Canis lupus familiaris: one gene and its partners. The protein of the gene in region 2 binds, or shares a complex with, the protein of the main gene of each other region. Links are inferred from orthologs where the notes say so. Each region holds a gene or a part of one and is shown on either strand. Other genes may lie near its edges. The genes, in order: CAST, CAPN2 and CAPNS1.

What was found.
Region 1: the proteins of CAPN2 (region 2) and CAST are in contact, whole or in part, in a crystal structure (PDB 3BOW), measured with the Rattus norvegicus proteins. The link is inferred for Canis lupus familiaris from reciprocal best matches to the Homo sapiens genes CAPN2 and CAST. Residues at the interface, in NP_058812.1 of Rattus norvegicus: Glu62, Leu63, Ser68, Lys69, Gln99, Gly100, Ala101, Leu102, Gly103, Trp106, Lys161, Asp162, Leu165, Leu166, His169, Ser196, Gly197, Gly198, Thr200, Ser241, Asp243, Ile244, Thr245, Asp249, Ser250, Glu251, Ala252, Val253, Val259, Lys260; in NP_445747.2 of Rattus norvegicus: Glu571, Leu572, Asp573, Ala575, Leu576, Asp577, Glu578, Leu579, Ser580, Ser582, Leu583, Gly584, Gln585, Arg586, Gln587, Pro588, Leu596, Asp597, Asp598, Lys599, Val600, Lys601, Glu602, Lys603, Ile604, Lys605, Ala606, Glu607, His608, Ser609.
Region 3: the proteins of CAPN2 (region 2) and CAPNS1 are in contact, whole or in part, in a crystal structure (PDB 1KFU), measured with the Homo sapiens proteins. The link is inferred for Canis lupus familiaris from reciprocal best matches to the Homo sapiens genes CAPN2 and CAPNS1. Residues at the interface, in NP_001739.3 of Homo sapiens: Ala2, Gly3, Ile4, Ala5, Lys7, Leu8, Ala9, Arg12, Glu13, Glu16, Phe60, Arg366, Arg416, Arg417, Arg418, Arg420, Asp494, Ile516, Phe551, Glu575, Lys578, Val581, Asp582, Asp585, Gly588, Ser589, Gly590, Gln641, Leu642, Gln644; in NP_001003962.1 of Homo sapiens: Thr85, His86, Ser88, Asp111, Asp112, Met113, Glu114, Ser116, Thr118, Asp142, Arg145, Ser146, Ala149, Val150, Met151, Asp152, Ser153, Asp154, Thr155, Thr156, Gly157, Gly160, Phe161, Glu163, Asn206, His208, Leu209, Met212, Ile213, Arg215.

Annotation. Positions count from the first base shown.
Region 1 is NC_049224.1:13,066,206-13,073,697, reverse strand, and holds the start of CAST (calpastatin), read left to right. Parts: upstream 1-3,281; 5' UTR 3,282-3,360; coding exon 3,361-3,435; intron 3,436-4,754; exon of another isoform or gene 4,755-4,882; coding exon of another isoform or gene 4,883-4,912; intron 4,913-7,492.
Region 2 is NC_049228.1:40,298,350-40,305,185, reverse strand, and holds part of CAPN2 (calpain-2 catalytic subunit), read left to right. Parts: intron 1-1,224; coding exon 1,225-1,343; intron 1,344-2,391; coding exon 2,392-2,525; intron 2,526-3,386; coding exon 3,387-3,555; intron 3,556-4,292; coding exon 4,293-4,376; intron 4,377-5,852; coding exon 5,853-5,938; intron 5,939-6,437; coding exon 6,438-6,512; intron 6,513-6,836. UniProt on the Homo sapiens protein: Calcium-regulated non-lysosomal thiol-protease which catalyzes limited proteolysis of substrates involved in cytoskeletal remodeling and signal transduction. Proteolytically cleaves MYOC at 'Arg-226'.
Region 3 is NC_049222.1:117,399,096-117,406,728, forward strand, and holds the start of CAPNS1 (calpain small subunit 1), read right to left. Parts: upstream 3,833-7,633; 5' UTR 3,761-3,832; intron 2,853-3,760; 5' UTR 2,835-2,852; coding exon 2,629-2,834; intron 2,611-2,628; exon of another isoform or gene 2,590-2,610; coding exon of another isoform or gene 2,567-2,589; intron 2,550-2,566; exon of another isoform or gene 2,415-2,549; intron 2,280-2,414; exon of another isoform or gene 2,199-2,279; intron 1,767-2,198; coding exon 1,733-1,766; intron 1,460-1,732; coding exon 1,370-1,459; intron 1,215-1,369; coding exon 1,157-1,214; intron 1,058-1,156; coding exon 993-1,057; intron 1-992. Other genes in the region: stress-induced-phosphoprotein 1, read left to right, coding at 7,271-7,633. UniProt on the Homo sapiens protein: Regulatory subunit of the calcium-regulated non-lysosomal thiol-protease which catalyzes limited proteolysis of substrates involved in cytoskeletal remodeling and signal transduction. Essential for embryonic development.

The DNA of each region.
Region 1 (7,492 bases), on a different chromosome or scaffold from region 2:
CTCTGGACAATGTCACTATGGAGTAGAGCAAACCTGGTGGAGAGTCTCAAGATGGCTGATAGGACAGGTACATTTCAGTGGGATTGGTAGGGACTTGAACATCAGCTAAAAGATCCAGGTTTTCTTGAGTTAACTTCCATTCCAGAAGTAAGTGGCAGTGTAGAAAAAATATCATACAAAGGAAGGGGACTATTCAAACCATGAGTACCTCAGATTTGAATCCTCCTGAATCCTACCCCCTGGCCAGGTTACCACAACCTCTCAGCTGTCAGATCTAATGGACACTCTTCATCCATTGTCTGACCCAACCTTTGAGTGAAATGTCATATTGCCGGATCAGCCCCTTCCTTTCAGGAGCCCCTCCTCCCTCGGCCTCTGGTACCTACTTCCTTCCTAGCTTCCTCCTACCCCCCCCCCCCCCCGCCCCCCGTAGCTCCTTCTCAGGTTCCACTGGCTTTTTCTCCAGTTTCCATCCTGTCTTTCTTTTTCTCAGTTTACATGTTTCCTGATGAGAAGTGATGAGCTCCTGAACAGCTCCTGCAACAGGGGGGATGAAGAGAAGATACAAGGTGGAGGTCATGTGGAGGAGGTTACAACTCAGTCAAGTCAAACATGGCAGGAGGAAGGAGCCCTTGAGCTCCCCGTCTCCCCAGCCAGCCCATCACGGTCAGAGTGAGAGGTCCCTCAGGATCCTGTAGTGCTCTTGGAATATCTCTGCCAGCCCTTACCCTTCGTCCATGGTCATGTGGTGGTGAATTTGTCTGTCTTTCCTCCTAGACTTTCAGGCCCCCGGTACCTCCACAGAGCCTGACACAATGCAGTCATCCTGTTACTGAGTAAATGAAGGAATGTGCAAATAAAAATAAAACAAAGGTGCCATATATATTTAAAATGACCTTCTCTAAGGTGTTCAACTGCTGGTCATGGTATCAAAGTTCGAATTCCTCACTGACTACAAGAGAAAGTGAAAACACTGCCCTCTTTCTTCTTCAACTTATTTGTAATTCTTCTTTACTCATCATCATCAATGCATAGTTTAGCCCATAACTGATCTGCTTATGGAGTTCCAACCCTTAAGCAAAGCCTGAAGGCTAATGTCATTATCTCTTATAGATTTTGATATCAATTATATCACCTGGCATGGCAGCTGCTTGGTAAATAGTAAGTTGGCAAATGGATCGATTACTTCTAAACTTGCACCAGCAGCTCCAACCAGATGGGTAGGCTTTTTTAATATTTCCTGAACTGCCCCCACCCTTTCTACCCCTGTCCACATCCCACCAGCCAGCCTGCCCACTCAAGCTTCTTTTACCTTCCTAAAAGCACTAAGCCCCACAGAACCCCAAACTCCCAAAACACATTTGTACTTACTCATACCTGCCTCATTGTCACCCAAATGATGTGTTACAAATGCCACATGACTCCAGCTAACCTCTAAGTCCTTGGAGTGCAGGAAATATGCATTTTTATCCGTATATCAATTTCTTTCACAATGCTTTACATGATGAAAGACTTTCAAAGAATATAACACTAACTGGTTTAAGTTCAATTTTAAATACCCCTTAGAAAACACCTCAAATTTTAATCAACAAACCATTCTTCTTCCAGACTCAGAATAATGTGTCAGGGATCTAAAGCCTGAACCTAGGTCCTCTAGGATCTTTAGTATGGATGTGTTTCTGGTTCCTGGGCCTAGAGATGGGGCTGCCTATCACCTGGGCCCTGTAGTTTGTGTGCTTATTTAAATTACTGTAGGTGTTTGGTTGCATTCTTAAGTCATTTTTTTTTTCAGGCTTATGACATATTTCCTCCAATTATGAGTGTAATTCATGCCACCAATCAATTTTTCTTGAATGGACAATGATAGATCCCTTATCCAAGTCATTTCATTTTTATGGGTAAATTCTCACACCGTAGCCTGTGTGCTGGAAATGCTAGTTACATAGATAATAAGCAAAACTTTTAAAAAGGAAATCCATTTTCAGCACTCCTCACTGCTCCCCCCATCAGGAATGCTGCTAGTCTGTAAATGAAGACAAAAATCCCTAAATACAGCATGACTACTCTTTTCCTACAACCTGGCTTCTCTCTCAGCAAATGTCTAAAACATAACACTGCAGAGAGTGGTCACCCTCGGGTCCTAAGTGTCCATGCCACCCCAGGGAAACGGGTTCTTTTTTCTGTCGGGTCTGATCACAAACCACAGAATGGAAGGGTGACAGTCTCAGCAGATGAGCATTTTCTAGACAAGCTTGTTATACTTCACTTCCAGGCCTAAACCAGGAAGTGCTGTTTAAGATGAGTCAAAGACTAAAAACACTTTGGCCTCGGAAACAAAACCGGCCAGGCTCCAGAAACGCTACAGGGGTTTTAATTTGGGACTATTCTTTGGTTTGAATTGGAACCTACGGCTTCCTACCCCCATAAAACGTTTTAAAACTTTCAACATTGCGCCCTCCCGCCCCCCCCCCCCAAAAAAAAACCCCTCCAAGTGAGATGCCAGAAAATACACACAGGAGAGCGTACACACCTACACAAACAGACACATCCAGACAAACAAATGCACAGACCCATTTGTTTTTTTGTGATCCGCTTCCTTATCTAGACGGTCCAGGCTTGGGCCAGATTTGAGTTGGTAAATTCTTCTCCAAACTAAACCCGGACAGATTGCAGGAAAGGTGTTTAATTCTGGAGATAGGGACGCCTGGGTGGCTCAGCGGTTGAGCGTCTGCCTTCGGCCCAGGGCGTGATCCTAGAGTCGTGGGATCGAGCCCCACGTCGGGCTCCCTGCGTGGAGCCTGCTTCTCCCTCTGCCTGTGTCTCTGCCTGCCCCCCCCCCCCCTCTCTGTGTTTCTCATAAATAAGTAAAATCTTTAAAACAAAAATTCTGGAGACCTGTTTAAGGAGAAGGGTCGAGGCGCAGCCGGGCCACGCCCGGGTCCCGCTCTCCCGTTGCACAACTGAAAGCTGAGTCCGGGCAAGTCGAAGGAGGAACCCTGAGACCTGCAGCCCCTCCTCCCTGCGACCTCGGGGAGCCCCGAGTCCTGGGAGGCGGGGAGGACCTCGGGGCGAAGACCACGGGGCCGAGGGTGTTCGGCTTCAGCCCCGGGGCGCTGGAGCTGGGGCCGCAGCCAGCAGCCGGCAGGAAGGGGAGGACCCGGCCGGGCAAGGGGGAGCCCCCGCGCGGGCTCGGGGCTGGGTCGGAAAAGCTGCCTCACGGGCGCGCCCGCCGGCCCCTCCGCCCCCTCCCTCCCTCCCTCCCTCGCTCGCTCGCTCGCTCGCTCGCAGAGCAGCCCCGCCCGGGCCTCCCTTCGCGGCCCCGCGGCGCCCTCCCGGAGGCAGCGATCCCGCGGCCTCGCCATGTCTCAGCCGGGCCAGAAGCCCGCTGCCTCCCCGAGGCCCCGGCGCGCTGCCGCCGCCCGCGACACCCAGGAGGTGAGTGGCGCCCCTCCGGGAGCCGCAGGGCCGCGCTGGGGGGAGGGGATCCGAGCCCCGGGGCCCTGGGCCGCCTCCTCGGGGCGTGACCCGCGCGGCCGCCTGGCCCGGGCGCCCTCGGGGCCGGGAAGGGCGCGGGGCTCAGGCTCGCCGCCGGGCAGGGGCCGGAGGTGACCAGGGGTCCCTCGGGCCCGGCCCAGTGCGCCCGGCGAGGCGCGAGCTCCACAGGGGGCCGGGCCGCGTCGGGGAAAGTTGGGTGGGGAGAGGCGGGCGAGGGAAGAGAGGGCTGGGGGCGGGAGTTCCTTCGAGGCCCCCGGAGTGGGGGGAGTTTAACGAGCGCGGAATCCCCTCTTCCGCTTAAAGCCGGGGCTGCAGGGCGGGGCTGCCCCGAGGAATAACACAGCCACCCTAGCCAGCCTCGCGCCGCGCCGGGCGGGGCGGGGCGGGGCTGCCCGAGGAATAACACCCCTACCCTAGCCAGCCTCGCGCCGCACCGGGCGGGGCGGGGTCTGCGGGGGCGGGGCCTGCGGGGGGCGGGGCTTCCCCGAGAACTAGCACAGCTACCCTAGCCAGCCTCCCGCGGCTCCGGGCTGGGCGGGGCCTGAGGGGGCGGGGCCTGCGGGGGGCGGGGCCTGCGGGGGCGGGGCTTCCCCGAGAACTAACACCCCTACCCTAACCAGCTTCCCGCGGCACCGGGCGGTGCGGGGCCTGAGGGGCGGGGCCTGCGGGGGGGGCGGGGCGGGTGTGGGGGCGGGGCCTGCGGGGGGCGGGGCTTCCCCGAGAACTAGCACAGCTACCCTAGCCAGCCTCCCGCGGTACCGGGCGGTGCGGGGCCTGAGGGGCGGGGCCTGCGGGGGGGGCGGGGCGGGTGTGGGGGCGGGGCCTGTGGGGGGGCGGGGCTTCCCCGAGAACTAACACCCCTACCCTAACCAGCTTCCCGCGGCACCGGGCGGGGCGGGGCCTGAGGGGGCGGGGCCTGCGGGGGCGGGGCTACCCGAGAACTAACAGCTACCCTAACCAGCTTCCCGCGGCACCGGGCGGGGCGGGGCCTGAGGGGGCGGGGCCTGCGGGGGCGGGGCTACCCGAGAACTAACACAGCTACCCTAACCAGCTTCCCGCGGCACCGGGCGGGGCGGGGCCTGAGGGGCGGGGCCTGCGGGGGGGCGGGGCGGGTGTGGGGGCGGGGCTTCCCCGTGAAATAACACCCCTACCCTAGCCAGCCTCCCGCGGCTCCGGGCGGGGCGGGGCCTGCGGGGGCGGGGTCTGCGGGGCGGGGCCGCTCCGGGTGCGCCCAGGTGTCGTGCCTCCTGCTGGCTGCGGGCGTCCCGAGCGCAGAGCCCGCCAGCTCCCAGGCAGGCGAAGTGGGAGCCCCGCGCCGGCCGCCCCGCACCCCGCGTCCTCGCCGAGCCCTCCGCCACGCGCGGCTCCGAGCCCACCGACTGTGGCCATGGCATTCGCAAGCTGGTGGTACAAGACGGTAAACGCGAGCGATCGTGCCTGGGCAGGAACGGGAAGGGGATGATTGCTCTGCCTTTCCGGGAGTGCGGATGGATGAGTGCTGTCCGGACTGGGGCTGGGAAGGGGTGGGGACCACATGCGACCTCTTCCCGGGACTTCAGGTTGGGCTCCGGGAGAGGCCGAGACTCACCCTGCTGTGGTATGCACCAGCGCGCCCGGGCGTGCGAGTCCGTGTGAGCAGAGATGCAGGAGGCCCTGCTTGCTCTCGAGCTGAATGGGACAGGAATAGTTCCGGGAGGAATTCCGCCCCTGGATGCGGATTCCCGAATGAACTCAGCTCGCAAGAGCCTAGACCTAGCGTTTTTAACTTGTGTGCAAAGCTCGAAACTTTTAGAGAAATGTCCTTGGACATGCATTTTCCAACACAGAGGAGGAGAATGGGGGGGCAAGAGAAAACCCAACACTCCAAGGAGCAGTAGCAACCGAGATCAAGAGCTTTGTTGAGAATGAGACGGTGAGAGTTAGAGCGATTCTGTACTTTTTTTTCCACACACAAAAAAAATAAAATAAAAATACACGAATGATGTGTTGGTAGGTGAGAATCAAAATATTTCTATCCCATTGATTGATGTGTGAATTTGAAAAACTTAGTTTTAAGTACACGTCTTTCTCAGCATGTGGTATTGGGAAAAGCAAGGTTATTCTAATTAGACACGCTTTAGAGAGAAACCTTGTATGGAAATCAGTAAACTGTCACTGATAAGCCAGTGGCCATTCACTGAACACCTACTATGTGCCAAGTCTGGTCCTAGCCTCTAAGTACACAGTGGAGAATAAGATAATAGTTCTTTTTCTCAAAGGGCAATGAGTCAACATTTCTGAACCTGTTTCCAAATCTGTAAAATGAAGGTCATAATAGGCACCACGTAAGGGTTGTGAGGACCGATTAGATTCATGGATCAAAGTACCCACCGTACCCATAGACTTTTAATGATTGGGAATTACAGTTTCCCTAAAGATATTTCTTTGTAATTGTTTCCCATTACATTTTCTGGGCTTTTAAAACATAGCATCTTATTTATGTGCTGAAAGCAAAAGTTTGCTTTGAGTCATTATTGTCCCAAGGTTCTTATCAAAGTGCACCACAGGAATTATCTGCAAATATGGATGGCAGTGTTTCAGAGGTGACATCAGACTTCTCTTTCCAAATTCATGATTCCCTAAAGGAAATTCCCTCAAGGAAATGCTGGAATATTTGAAGTAGTTTAAAACAGTGCTTTTAACTTTGTTATGTTTAGGCATCGTCTGTCATTTTGCTAAGATCTCTCTTATATTCCAATTTGGGAACTACCATAAAATTTTTTTGCCTCTCAGGATCAGCAAATTGTCTGTGATCAGCTTTGATTCTTCCCAAACCAATGTCATCTGAAAGAAATGTGGTGTGTCACATATGTAATTTAAAATTTCCTAGTAGCCACATTAACAAAAGCAAATACAGGTGAAATTCATGATAATAATATATTTTACTTAACCCACTCTATCCCAAACATTATTTCAACATATAATCAAGGTACAAACTGTTGAGGTACCTTAGATCTTTTTTATATTAATTCGTCAAACTCCAGTGTTCATTTTATACTTAAATTGATTCATACTTGGCTACATTTCAAGTCAAAAGGCATGAGTGGCTAAGGGCTATAGTATTGGAAGATATAGCTCTAGACATGCATGGCTCCTAACCATTTTTGTCTGTTGGCTATGAGGGAGTGATTACAGACTGTTCTGAGAATTAAATGAAAGCTATAGACCATTTTCCCTTAGCAAAATACACAAACAAATACACAAAAGCTCACCCATAAATCCTCTAAAGGTCCACAGAGCCAATTTATAACACATATATTTCACATATATATAATATAAATTGTAATATACAATAATACGATATATAATTTAATTATATAATATATACTCTGTAATATAATGTAATTATATAGTGTTATATACTGTATAATATAATATGATGGTATATACTACTATAGAATAATTATATATAAATGTACGATTTATATATAATATATATGTATTTTTATCATATATATCATATATATATCATGCATATATGTATACATAATGGTTCTGATACACCCTATAATTTAATTATCTTTACTAGGACCCTTTAAATACTGAAAAAGATTGTGAACGACCTCACTTTAAAAATCTAGGCAGAATAAGATAAAATAATTAAAAGGTGTATCTATGATATTTGTTTAAGGGAGTGCTACCTATAAAGCCAGTCAGTGAAACACAGTACAGTGTATATTTCCACACTGAATACTATCAATATTATCAATCTTATCTTCCAAAGAATTATGTGGTTGTAGGGAGAAAAAAACAACTTTAAAAAGCTAGATCTGAAGAACATCCAGTGAGCATCATAATGATGAAGCATGAAAGAGAATAAATTCAGTTGACATCAGTAATCACATTCCTGAGTCATAAGTTGACTCGATTAGGCCCTGTTAATTAAAGGTGTTTCTTAGCCTAATTAGACCCATGGGCCCAGTGGCAGCATGATCAAGGAGCCCAGTCATTTGGGAGG
Region 2 (6,836 bases):
GGGCCACAGAACCTTCTCCAACCCAACCACTGCAGGTGGGACAATGTGATGCCTGGGTGGCCACAGGCCTGCCTCTGGAATTGGGACAGGGTCCACACCATGGAAACATTGCAGACTGAGTGTGCCGGGCAGCTGGTTTCACAGAGGGATGTGGGGTTCCCGGGAGGAGCACAGGAAAGCCAAAGCTGAGTCCCCAGCACCGCTGCACCCACTCAGCGCAGGAGCCAGAGGATTCGTTTGCCCTGGTCAGGTTGGGGCCTCAGAGAGCTGTGCGCACCATCCTTTCTGAGCATCAGCAGGACAGTCCCGTTTAGGAATCATCAGGACACCAAGGGGTGGACCAGAAGAGAAAAGAGCTCCGTGACCTTCAGTAGCACCTGCAAGAGGCCCGTCCCTCAGTAAACGTAAATCCAGCGATGCACATGAACTCATCCAAGGCTGTTTCCTGTTACCGCCTTGGGAAGTGGTAGGAGGGTGCTCACTCCTTTAGCACAAACTAGATTTCCTCAGCCTCCCCCGGAGCCTCCATCGGTGGCCTTGGGAGGTAAATGCGAGCCCCCCACGGCACACTGTTGCTGCCCACGGCTCGCTTCTAACCGTGCAACAGGGTCGCGGTGCTTGCGTGCTGAGCACCTGCTGCCGGAGCCGCAGGCACATCAGAGCTTTGCCTGCTGCCGTGCTGCCGTGACCGCGTGGTCCTGTGTGCCACAGGGGGCACTGCGGCTGCGGGGGGCCCGTCTGACTGTCCTTGTTCTTGTGCCCCTTGTGCGGTGCCCTCCCATACCTCAGAAGTGACCATCCATGTGCTCTTGCCCAGGGGAGCAGCTCGACAATGCACTTCTCTGACCCTGGAACCTGCTCCCACCCACTCAGGGACATGCAGGACACCCTGTGTGGGACCTGCTGGCCCGCCTTCCCCTGCCCCTACGCCCTCCTCCCTGCCGACCGCTCCCCACCTCCACCCGTGCTCCAGAAGTGTCCCTCATCATTTCAGAGGCCCCTGCCGTGCCCTCCGTGGCTGAGCTGGGAGGACAGCATGACTGTCACAGGTCTTTCCAAGAGTGAGTTCTCCTGCCTCCGTCTGGGTCACCCAAACCCTCCAACCTGCCTGTCCCCTGGTGGCTTGTCCACAGCTTCAAGCTCCTGGAGGCAGGACGAGGTGTCCAGCACCAGCATCCTCCTGGCACTGAGCCCCCTGCTCAGAGCTCTGTGCTGTGTCCACAGGTGACTGCTGGCTGCTGGCAGCCATTGCCTCCCTGACCTTGAACGAAGAGGTCCTGGCTCGTGTTGTGCCCCCGAACCAGAGCTTCCAGGAAAACTATGCAGGGATCTTCCACTTCCAGGTGAGTTAATGTTGGCACACACTTCTCCCCAGTGGGTCCTGGGGGACTAAGACAGGTCCTGGGGGGTTCTGAGGTTGGGTCCCGGTGGGGGGGAGCTGAGGACGGGCTGGGGGTGTTGCTGAGGATGGGTCTGGTGGGGTTCTGAGGATGGGTCAGGGGGATTGCTGAGGATGGGTCCTGGGGGTGCTGAGGGCGGGTCGGTGGGGGGTGCTGAGGATAGGTCTGGAGGATGCTGAGGACGGGTCCCGGGGGAGTGCAGAGGATGGGTCAGGGGGCCGCTAAGGACGGGTCCCGGGGTGGGGAGCTGAGGACGGGTCCCAGGGTGGGGGAGCTAAGGATGGATCCCAGGGTGGGAGCTGAGGATGGGTCCTGTGGGGGGAACTGAGGACAGGTCCCGGGATGGGGGAGCTGAGCACAGGTCCTGGGGGGGCAGCTGAGGACAGGTCCCGGCGGGAGGAGCTAGAATAGATCCTAGAAGCTAGGAACAGGTTCCCTGGCTCAGCCACGTTTATCAGATCCTGGGGTTTGCAAACCCCTAGGACCGTGCTGTCCTACAGAGGACCTGGAGAGGCTGCAGCAAGCTCTCTGGCCTGCTCCTGACAGGGACCCTGTCCCTGACGGGGAGACCCTGCAGGAATAGCAGTGGGGAGCCTCTTGAGACAGGCAAGGAGGGACGTAGTGCAAGGCACTCGAGTTAATTCCCAAGTTTCAAGCCTGTTCTGGGGTGTCTGAGTCAATGGCGAGGTACCACTCACTGTCCTCCCTTCAGGCTGGTAAATGAGAAGTCCTATCCTGAGAGCATGAGGTGCAGGCAGGGTGCCCGAGAGGCGAGTGTGGACAGGAGCTTCTGCCCTGGGCTTCTCAGCGAGGACTTGCCAGGAGGAGGAGGGTGGGAGGTCTCCTCCCGGGATGGGCTCACGGTGCCAGGGGCCGGGCAGGGAGGAGCCGGTGCCTCTGAGGCTGGGATCCCCAGGCGGCAGCCCGCCCACTGGCCCTTCCCGCAGCCCACCCCGGGCCACCCTGTCCTGTCTCTGTCCCCGACCCACAGTTCTGGCAGTACGGTGAGTGGGTGGAGGTGGTGGTGGACGACAGGCTGCCCACCAAGAACGGGGAGCTGCTCTTCGTGCACTCTGCAGAGGGCAGCGAGTTCTGGAGCGCGCTGCTGGAGAAGGCCTACGCCAAGTGAGTGAGCGTGAGCGTGCCCTTCCCTCCAGCAGCCTGCCCCAACTGCCCTGCATTCTGGAAGAGACGGGTGGTGGTCAGGAACTACCTGTTCCAGAATTGCGCTCTAGATTCAAGGAGTGAATGCAGGTGGGGTGCCTGGCCGCATCGCGCCTGGACGGGTGATCGTGCTCACCCTGCGTAGACACACGCACAGGAGCCGGTGTGGCGCAGACTGGCCTTGAGAAGGACCCCTACGTGCTTGGCAGGTCAGATCACATTTTTGTCAGCTAAATACCACAGAGTTTCTACTACTGGGCAGAACCGTCCAGTGCAGAGGTAGAAGTCTGGAAGCTTGTGCAGAATCTACGGTGTGCAATGAGATGTGGTTTCCCATGACCTCCCTGGGCGGGAACCCCATGACCTCATCCCGACTGTGCCGCCCAGACTCTGCGGCACCCAGAGGGCTCCTGGCCCTTGCAGCCACTGCTGGGGAGGAGGGCCAGCCCCCCCAGCTGTGACAGTCGGGGGTCTGGGAGCCACTTCTCAGTCACTTGCCTCAACAGCACCGCTAGAAGCCATGGGACGCCGTGGGGCAGGAGGGTGGGAGGAGCAGCACTGTGCGTGTGCACCTGGAATTGCTTTTGTTGTGGAGTTGTTGTCCTTTAAGCTTTAGATGCCAAACAGCCAATGAGCAGCCCTGCCCTTTGCTACGAGGATGTCCAAACCATGAGTACGGGGGGTCGGACCAGATAACCACCGGTCCTTCCACCTGGAAGACTAGATTTGCTGGAGCCCAAGCCGAGGGGATCCCGAGTGGACGGTCCCTGGAGCATCCAGTAAAGGGAAGCAGCAGTGGCAGCAGGATCTGTCCTCCCTCAGGATCAACGGCTGTTACGAGGCACTCTCGGGGGGTGCCACCACTGAGGGCTTTGAGGACTTTACCGGGGGGATCGCGGAGTGGTACGAGCTGAGGAAGGCCCCCCCTGACCTGTTCAGGATCATCCAGAAGGCTCTGCAGAAAGGCTCCCTCCTCGGCTGCTCCATAGACGTGAGTCCAGGCCCCACCACCTGCTATAGCTGGCACGTCCGTCCCGGTCCACTACACTGTGCCTCACCTGGAACCCATGGCTGGTCAGCAACTTCCAGGCTGTCTGGGGGACAACTGGTGGGCGAAGGTGGCCCCAGCCCACTTCCGACACCCACCTCCTGTGCATCACCAGCCTGGACCTCAGGCCCTGGGACCCCATTCCCTCGGCTGGTCCCCAGGGAAGCTCCTGCCCTCGGCTGGTCCCCCGGGAACCCCCTGCCCTCCACTAGTGCCCAGGGAGCCCCTTGTCCTCCGCTGGTCTGGGGGAAACACCCTGTGCAGACACTTGTCCCTGTGGACAGGGCCTGCATGGGCCTGGAGCCAGGTACCTTACCCTTCATTGCTGCAGGGTCCAAGGCCCTGGGAAAGACTTCGGGAGGGGCCCTTTCCTCCAGAAGCTGGGAGGTGTGCATCACGTCCTGCCCCCAGGCATCCTCTGGACAGAGGCTGAGCATCCCACCCCCACCCCAACCCTGTGCTACCCAGGACTCATTCCCTGTGGGGACAGAGAGGGAGGCCCCAGCTTCCACGGGCAAAATTTCTGTCCAACTTGCTAAAAAACAAAATTCAGTCTAGTAAATGTGAAGATATAATTGCCTTTATCAGGTGATCCGTGAGTTGGGTGGCACCCCATCCCGCAAGTAGCAGAGACCCTCTATGAAAGAAGGTGGGCAGCCTGACTCTTCCCATCTTTCCAGATCACCAGCATGGCAGACTCAGAGGCCATCACGTTCCAGAAGCTGGTGAAGGGGCACGCGTACTCAGTCACTGGGGCCGAGGAGGTAAGGCCGGCAGAGTTTGCAGGGGTGTCTTCTCCCTAACACCGCAGAGGACTGCCCCCCAGCTTAGTGGGTCCTGCACTCCCACGGCCCCTCCTCTACCAGGCCTTGAACTCCTGAAGCCAAGGGAGCGAGGCCAGCGATTCAAGGGCCGCTGCGCCCCATGTCTGCCCTCTGTGGGCCACGGGCCAGCTCTGGCGTGCTCCCTATGCTTCGTTCACACTCGCCTTGCTCTTCCCGACCGGCTAGATATAAAGGAACAGGGATCGCATCCATATAGTGTTTTAGATTCTCAAAATGGTGCTTTTGCGATTGATGTCACCGCAGCATCAGTGCTGAATTCCTGTTCCGGTCTGGCCGCCTCTGGCCCGCTGCATGGCCTGGGCACATTTCTCAAACTCCCTGGCCTGGAGTGTCCTCCAGTCAGAGGGGTGATGTCTGCAGGGAGCTGTGGTGGCAGGCGCCGCGGCTCCCCAGTGTCACAGTAACGCCACACGCCCCAGTCAGCAGCCGGCATCAGGGCGAGTACAGAACCCCATGTCTTCAGACGTGTCCATGGCTCCGTTCTGTTTTAAACCTTAAATTTTTATTTTATTCCCGAGCCCACCACACCCAAGACATGGACACCTTTTTATTTTGAAAAAGCTCAAGTCAATGGAAAGGTTGAAAGGCTAGAACAATCATAAACATCCAGGTACTGGGACTCCTGGGTGGCGCAGTTGGTTGGGCGTCTGCCTTTGGCTCGGGTCGTGATCCTGAGGTCATGGGATCGAGTCCCATGGGGGGCTCCCTGCTTAGCAAGGAGTCTGCTTCTCTCTCTCCTCCCCACTCATGCTCTCTCTCTCTCACTATCTCTCTCTCAAATAAATAAATAAGAATATTTTTTAAAAAAGAAAACATCCAGGTACTGCTTCTGTAGACTCAGTATCTGCACGTCTGTTTTCTGAGCCGTTGGTAGGTCAGGCACATACGTCACGAGACTTCCACATTCGCCTCCCAGGCTCTCATGTGACATCAGTGCTGTTGTCAGGTTTTCATCCCATGACAGCATCTCACGCAGAGCCCGTGTTCACACATCTTCCCACCTCGACAGCATGTCCCCTGTAGCGCCCGCCCAGGGCTCCAGGTCTAGGCAGCGTGACCACTCTGCATCTGCAGAATTCCTGCGCAGGTGGGAAGGTGCCCTCGCCCTGGGACCACAGCAGGTCCCGCTCTAGTCGGGAGGCTGGGGGCCCCATGCCATGGCATCTAGAATGAGGAGAATGAGGACACTGCTGCCGCAGGCTCGAGACCAATCAAGGAGCTGCGTCCTGCAAGAGTGGACCCAAGGAGTGGTCCACACTGGCAGTGGCAGGGGGCCTGGGGTCAGCCCTTCCCATTTCATGACCCGGACCCGACCCCTCTCAGCTGATGGAGAAGCCCCCCCAGGCCGGGCTTGAGCTCAGCAGCTCCCCTCTCCTTCCTGCACCCCACCTTCAGGTCGAAAGTGGGGGCAGCCTGCAGAAGCTGATCCGCATCCGCAACCCTTGGGGCGAAGTGGAGTGGACCGGGAAGTGGAATGACAAGTGAGCGGCATGCCCTCCCCTGGGAGGTTCTGGGGGCTGCGCTGGGGGGTCAGGCCCGGAGGCCGCAGGTCCCCCTCCCTGCCCCACTAGGGCGTGTGTGTGTCCTCCTGCAAGCCCCGGGCTCCGGCGACGCACAACCCATCCGTCACCTCACAGTCCACGCCTTCCCTGGTGCAGTCCCCCTGCTGGCGGGCCTTCCCAGGGTGGGAGGTGCAGAGAGGTTCCCAGCCAGGGCAGCCACTCGTGGGACTCTCAGTTCCCCTCACAGGGGCGGCCGGGCGTAGGCCGCCTGTGCTACCCCTTCTCCCCCGACAGCTGCGCTCTTTCTGCCGCCACCACCCAGGGGGCTCCCTGTCCTCACCCCCCTGCTTCCCGGCTCCGGCCCGCATACGTGTCACTCCTCCCGGTGGAGTCTGGCCCTTGGAGGCTCGGGAGCATGTCCCTGGGTACCCACTCTGGGGCTGTGGGGACGGTCCTCACCTGTCCCTTGGTTTCTCAGCTGCCCCAACTGGAACACGGTGGACCCAGAGGTGAGGGAGAGGCTGACCAGACGGCACGAGGACGGGGAGTTCTGGTAAGGTTGTTAGTGGCCGCAGGGCCAGGGCTCTGTCCTTGGGTCGTGGGCACAGGGGCGTGGGAGCTGCTTCTGTAGTCCTAAACTCCCCAGAAGACCCCGATGAAACTATTCCTCAGCCTCTCCCATTTGTCCATCTCAACGATGGGGTTTCAAAGGCCCAGGAGGGTTCAGGTCCCACGAGGAGACTGGAGAGGAGGAGCCCTTCCCCAACCAGCTCCCAGAGTGGGCCTGACACCTCAGGAAAGAAACAGTCCCTTGGAGAACAGGGCTGGGCCTGCGGCTGTGTCTGCCCACCTGCGTCTGTGCTGCCTGGCTCAGTGC
Region 3 (7,633 bases), on a different chromosome or scaffold from region 2:
TACAACCACTTACGATGTGCTATGGCTATGCATTGTCCTAAATAAACCTTTTGCATGTAGCTCCAATTCAGTTTCACTATTATCATTCACTTCATTTTATAGACTGGCAAATTAAGGCACAGAGAGGCTCCATAACCTCACTAAACAGCACAGCCAAGCATGTAGAACTCTGTGCTACATATGTATGTGATCACATGACATATATAGGTGTCTACATTTCCCCTATGTGCTGAGCATGCATGTATCCAAGATCAATTAATGATTGGCCCATGTGCAAACATGCATGTGTGTTCCTGTGAACATGCCTTCACATATCTTCACCTATACAGTGTACCCTTGCATATATGTGCATCATGTATATAGGCATACCTATAGCAGTTATAAGCTTGGGTTCTTGGGGCACCTGGCTGGCTCAGTCAGTAGAGTGTGTGACACTTGATCTCTGATTGGGGAGTTCAAGCCCCACGTTGGGTGTAGTACTTATTTAGAAAAAGAAAGAAAAGAAAAAAAAAGAAAAGAAGGAAAGAAAGAAGAAAGAAGAAAGAAAGAAAGAAAGAAAGAAAGAGAAAGAAAGAAAGAAAGAAAGAAAGAAAGAAAGAAAGAAAGAAAGAAAGAAAGAAAGAAAGAAAGAAAGAAAATAAATAAGCTTGGGTTCTTGAGCCTAAAAGGCCTGAGTCCAAATTCCTACCCTGCCACTTACTTTGTAAGCGTAACCTTCAGACAAATGATTGCCTCTCTCTGAGTCTCAGTTTCTTGACCTACAAAATGGACTAAAACAATTCTGCCTATTTAACAGAACAGCTGTGAAATGCCAGCTGTGATAGCTGAGGTTACTATTTATCGCCACACGTCTGGGTGTGTGGTAGTGAGTGTGTGTTCTGATATATGTATGTCCACATTTGTGTGTATGAAAGCTACACCCTGGCTCTCCTAACCATGCTCTCACAAAACTCCTTCACCCAAGGCTTCAGTCAGATTGCCCCCAAGGATACATCCATCACGGCCACCATGCTGCGACATGTGTCAATGCCAAAACCATCAGTTTTCAGATCAGGATCTGTGGGGGACAGATTGAAAGTCAGAAGGCCAGAGGTCACAACTACCCCAGCAACCCATGACTCAAAACCTGTCCTATGTGTTGAGCCCAACAACTCACGTCTGGTTACGACCTTGTTGAGAATGTTCATGAGTTCTGTGGCACTGACTTCCATGTCCTGTGGGGAAAAGTCAGGGATGGTCACAAGGGAAGAATGTCATGAAGGAGAATGGGGATTCTTTGGGGATTGCCATTTTTGGGGGTGTGTGCAAGGGCAGCCCAAAGGAAGATGTGGAAGACTTAGGACAAAGATAGGGGCCCAGGGTTACTTACATCTCCAGCCAGCTGAGCAAAGAGCCTCCGGAACTGCCGGACCTCCTCGCTCTCATTGGCTTCAATGTTGGAGTAATGGGTGCGTGGAGGCTGCAGAGGGAAAAGATCTCAGAGCAAGTGGTGGAGGGGTGCCCGGGTCAGGACAGCCCTTGGTGGGAAAGTCGGAATGGGCTGAGTGGCTGGGTGATCAAAGAAATGAGAGATGGTCAGAAAGCAGGGAGTGGCTATAGCTAAGTTTGGGGACCTTGGCAAGGGAGAGATTTAATGAGTGGAATTTCATAAGGGGGACAAAGGGACAATGATGGGTGTGGAAAAAAGCCTGGGAGTGAGAAGCAGGGTCTCCGATTATAGAGGGTGGCTTACCGGAGGCTCTGGGTTGTACTGCGCAGCTGCCTCACTGAGGGGAGAGAGTTAGGGAGTTAGCGCCAGTGTGCGGAGCCTCCAAAGACGGTGCCCAACCCCTCAAACTCCAGCCCACCACCCTCCCCACCGGCTCCTTCTGCTCGCCTTAACGGTCCCTCTTTGCTGCCCTGGTTGCACCTGGCAGGAAACTCAGAGGCCCGCCCTACGGTAGGCCAGGGCCAGGCCAGGGCACACCTGCCCAGTGACAGATTCCTCAACAGATCACTTCATAGAAGCTCTGACCCAGCTTCCTGGGGCTCCATCCTCCTCAGGCCCCTTCTGTCTAGGAACCTGCTCCGTCCTGTGGCTTCCTGAACACCCGTGTTTCCCAACATCCCACCAGCTCCAGGAGTCCCCACCCCTTCGAGGGGGGCCACGGTTAATGAGGCCCCTGGTGACAACCCGCTCCACCTCGACCAGGTCGTACTTCTAGCCAGATCCACCTCCTTCAGGATCATCTCCCGCATCCCATTCGGCCTCGGCCTCTGCTGGGTCCAGCGCCTCACTGACCCGAGACCACGGCCACGCCGCGCCCGCAAGGCAGGCCTGGCCCCGGGAAGAGACGGCCGGGCTCAGCGGCTCCGCCCCCCTAACGTTCGTCTCCCGGCCGCCGGGAGGCAGGCCGCGCCCCCCCAAGCCCCACCTCCCCGAGCAGCGCCCGGCAGATCGCCCCTCAGCCGTCAGACTCCGCCCACGTCAAGCGCCGCCTCCTGAACTGCCAGCGGCCCCGCTACGGCCCGCGCCCTCCAGGCGGGTGGCCCAGCCTCGAAGACTGCAGGTCAGGCCCCAGGTTACCTCCATCTACTCAGGCGGGACATGCTCCTCCGCCGGGCCCCGCCCCTCAGGCCCCGCCTTACCTGATGGCACTAATGACCCCGCCCAGGATGCGCATGGCCGTTCCGCCCCCGCCGCCGCCGCCGCCGCCGCCGCCGCCTCCTCCGCCGCCGCCGCCGCCGCCGGCTCCGCTGATCAGGCCTCCGATCACATTCCCCAGGCCCCCGCCCAGGCCCCCGCCTCCCCCGCCGCCGCCGCCTCCTTTCAAGAACGAGTTAACCAGGAACATGGCTGCGATTTAAAATTCCTGGGGGGGGAAAGGGGGGGTCAAGGGGCCGCATCGCCACGGAGCCCGCTCCTTCCACACAAAAATACGCATTTCTGGCAGCCGGACTTGGGGAGTAACATGAGGCCTCAGGGCAGGGACTTATGCTCCGGCTCGGGCTTGACGGTGCATTTGGGATGGGGTCTGGGGTTCTGGGGGAGGGTAGTTTTCGGATGGGTGGGACAGGGACTGAGGATCGGGTTTGAAATCCCCTCTGGGTCCAAAGGATCTCCTTCTGGCTTGAGGGCCCCTGGACTGAGTCCATAGTGCATAGGCATCATCCAGGGTAAGGGTCCAGGTCTGGGGGCTTCTCCAGGTGGGGGCCCCAAGCTGGTGCAAGACATCTTTGACATGTCTAGGTACTCGAGTCAGATCGAGCCCCAGAGCTGGGTTTCGGGGTCTTGGGCGGGTCAGGGGCGCCGATCAGAGATTCTCCACTTGGAAGGCTCTGGGGCAGGGTTCAGGAAACCCAGAAATGTGAGCTTGAGGGTTTCGATACTCCCAGCAGCGGGTTACAATGTCGCCGCTGATTCTGCGGGCTCGGGTCTAAGACTGTGGGTGTGAATCCCGGGGCCTGGGATAACGGGGTGCCCATTAGAATTGGGAGAACGGATCTAAGGATCGTGGTTCTGGGGACCCTACCCTGAGCATAATTTGTAGGAGTACCTCTCAAATCCACGGGCTCGAACTTTAGATCCTGAGGCAGAGGGTGGAAGAGTCCCCGGCGGGGGAGGGGGGGATAACCTGGTGCCGGACATAACTGGGGCTTCCAGTCTGAGATCATGGGTCGGGGGGGGGGACCCCTGAGACCAGGGCTTAAGGGTGTTGGATATGGGGGCCGCAAGGACCGGGGTTACGGAGTACAGGGCTAATCCAGATCGGGCGCTCACCGCCTCGCTCACTCGTCCGTGGATCCGTTCGTCCGCGCTGCTCCCGGGCCTCCGGCCGCGTCCGGCTCCGCAGGGCGGGGCGGGTGACTCAGGCTGCGGGCGGGGCTGGGCTCTGCGGGCGGCCCGACCGGCCTCCGCGCGGTCCTAGAGCCGGCCTGAGCTGCGCCTGCGCGCGCCGGGCCCGCCTCCCGTGACCCCGAGCGGCCGCCGCGGCTCCGCCCCGCGCGTTTCCTGAGCTGTGGGTGCGGACCCCGCCCTGCGCTCCGAGATCCGAGGTCTTCCCGGTCCTTGAGGGCAGTGCGGTCGCCGTGCCCGGGATCCCCCCCTAGTGTTGCAGTGTGAATTCTGGCCCCACAGCGAGCCCCCGTGCGCCCCGCGGTGCCGTTTTCGGTCCGCTGGGAAGGGGACTTCGGGCCCGCGCCCCGGATCCTAGTCCTGTCGCCACAAAGCATTTGGAGACCCGGATGCTCGGCCCACAGCCCGGGGACCGGCGCCCGCATTTGGGGCAAGGGGCTAAGGCTGGACTAGCTTTCCCGGGGCCCTGCAGCAACCAGGTGGCGGTCAGACTGCAGGAAGGACTTCCCCGCCTACAAAAGTTGCCTGTGCCTCCTCCCCCCGCATCCTTTTACCCCGAGTCAGCGGCGCCAAGTGTCGCCTCCTCCTTCCCATCTCTAAAGAGGGGCCTGGGCACCCGAACAGTCAGTCTCTCTGGCCTGGTTTCTGAAGCTAGATGTCCCCAAGATCGGGCGGAGAAGTAGGGGGTGGGGAATGCAGAAGCTGGCAGGGCAAAGGGCGGCAGCGGAAGCCCCTCTGGGGAGCTCCGGCCTCCAAACTTCAGGGCTCCTCAGAGGGAGCTAATCTGGCTCCCAGGCCTTCTGGAAAGTCTGGCCCCCTTCGACTCTCCCCTGGAGGCTGACTTAGCTTGAGTCTGAACCCTGGCTCTGACATTTAATAACTGGGATCCTTTGGGCTCTGAGCAAGGCTGTTTTGTTTTGTTTCATTTCGTTTTAGCAAGGATTTATTCATCTGTAAAATGAGAAACAAAGGTTCCCATTCCCCCTCAGAATTGAGTGGTAAATAAGGTTAGTAAAGAGGAAACTGTGTGTGCCTGTACCCATGCTGCTGTTCCCTCCTCCTGTAGCCCACCTGGATTCCTCAGGTGGTTGACTGACCTACCCTTAGGTGATACTGATAAAAATAAGGGCCAGGCACTCTCCTGAGCACTTTACATATAACCTCACATGCCCTTGTAACAGCCCTATGGCGTGGATGTACACAGTATTTCCATTTTACAAGTAAACTGACTGAGGGTAAACTCCCTAGCCTGTAACCTTAACCACTACCCTAAAGCATTGACTTCAATAATATGATTAATTTTTCTTAAGATTTTATTTATTTATTCATGAGAATACACAGAGAGGAGAGAGAGAGAGGCAGAGACACAGGAAGAGGGAGAAGCAGGCTCCGTACAGGGAGCCCGACGTGGGACTCGATCCAGGGTCTCCAGGATCACGCCCTGGGTGGGCCAAAGGCGGTGCTAAACCGCTGAGCCACCCGGGCTGCCCAATATGATTAATATTGGCGCTCCTGACTAGCTGAGTTGGAAGAGCATGAAACTCTTGACCTCGGGGTCATGAGTTCAAGCCCGGCATTGGGTATAGGGATTACTAAAAGGAATAAACTTAAAATAATATAATTAATATGATAATAGCCTAGATAACAAGATCACATCAGACAAAACTGTAGTAGCAGCCAGGCCAGGGAATTGCTACACAAGCCTTGCCTATGAGGCAGGAATTTATAGGAGAGAAAAGTGGAGGCCAGGTGGGTCACTTGCCTAAGGTCACAGAGGATGGCAGAACCAGGTAGGAATCTGGGCCTGGCTGAAGTCAAAACTTGGTGACGACTAATCCAAATTCCCTTCTTACCACACCCTTCCCTACCACTCTGGAAAGCTTCCACTGCCTGCCCTCTCCAGGGCTCCCTGCCAGGCCTTTGCATGGGCCATGCCCTCAACCTGAAACACTCCCGCCTTTTTTACTTGGTGATGTAGGTACTCAGGTCGCTCAGGACTCACCTCTTCTAGGAAGCACTCCCTGTCTCCACCCCGACCTGAGACTGGGTGAGGCTTGCAGTTGCTGGCTTGCCACTTACACTCTCTCCTAACACGCTGCCACTCACTGGCATCTAGATCAGTCTCCCTGTCCTTTTAACCCTGGCCGGCTCCAGGTGTCAGGCCTTGGTCCTCCTCTGTATCCGCTCATGCCATAGAGGATCTCCCCCCACATTCGGGGTGTACAGTCCATCTCTAGGCTACTAAGATCCAAATTTCTGTCTTCAATCCAGACACCTCCAGGCTCCTACAAACTGCATTCTATTCACCTTCTCTGTAGGGGTCTTAGAAGTGTCTCAAACTTCACACATCCTAAACTGAGCTTCTAACTTCTCCCAAACCTGCTCCCTCCCCCCTTTCCCCATCTAGGTTGATGGCACCTCTGTCCTTCCAGTGACTGAGACTGCACAGCCCAGGATCATCCTGACCTCTCTTCCGCACCCGTGCCAACCCGTCAGGAAATGTTGACTCCACCAACACTGCCCCAGCCCGGGACAGTTTCCATCCTCCCTGACCTGACCCCACAGCAGCTCCTCCCTGGGCTCTGTGCTCCCTGCCTGCCCGCACAGTCTGCTCCCCATCCACAGCCAGAGGGAGCCTGTGATACCCTGAGTCAGGTCTGGGCCCTCTCCTGGCCACACTTCTCTCCTGGTAAGAGTCAGTCCTCACCATGGTCACCCATGCTAGTGATCTGTACTGTCACCTCTCTGACCTCACCTCTTCCTCCTTAAGAAAGTGAGAAGAAGCACTACTGGCACCTCAACCTGGTTGTTCCCAGCCCCCTTGGAGGCCCTGCAAGTGCAGCAATATCCAAAGAGCCCATCTTCTGGTGCCCTTGAGGGCTGCTACCCCTTTACCAAGGCCCTCTCTGGCCACACCTTAGTGCCTCAAGTCTGCACATCTAGTGGTCTCAGGAAGATCCTTTCAGATCTTTGATTTCACCCCCACACTCCCCGTTGCACCCACATGCTTCCTTTATCATTTATCACCTGCTAACATGGTGTATAGTTTACTCATTTATCCAGTTCCTTATCTTTCTCCCCCACTAGAATATTAGCTGCTCAAGGGATTGCTGTCCGTCTTGTTCACTGCTGGGTACTGAGTTCCTAGAACAGTGCCTAGCACACCTTAGGGGAGATAGTACAGCAAGCATACTAAAGTCCTCCACCATCTTCCAGATTCCTTTGAATTCAGACATGGTTATGACTTGTTTTGGCCAATAAAATGTGAATGGAAATATCGGGAGTGTATTTATTTATTTATTTATTTATTTATTTATTTATTTAAAGATTTTATTTTTAAGTAATCTCTATACCCAGTGTGGGGCTTGAATTTACAATCCCAAGATCAAGAGTTGCATGCTCGGGAGTCGATTCAACGGGGTTCCGGGCTGGGCTATGGAGCAGGTAAATGAGCTGAAAGAGAAGGGCAATAAGGCCCTGAGTGCGGGCAACATTGATGACGCACTGCAGTGCTACTCTGAGGCCATTAAGTTAGATCCCCAGAACCATGTGCTCTATAGCAATCGCTCCGCAGCCTACGCCAAGAAAGGGGACTACCAGAAGGCTTATGAGGATGGCTGCAAAACCGTGGACTTAAAGCCCGACTGGGGCAAGGGCTATTCGAGGAAGGCTGCAGCCCTTGAGTTCTTAAACCGATTTGAAGAAGCCAAGCGAACCTACGAAGAGGGTTTAAAACATGAAGCAAATAATCCTCAGCTCAAAGAGGGCTTACAGAATATGGAGGCTCGGTTGGCAGAA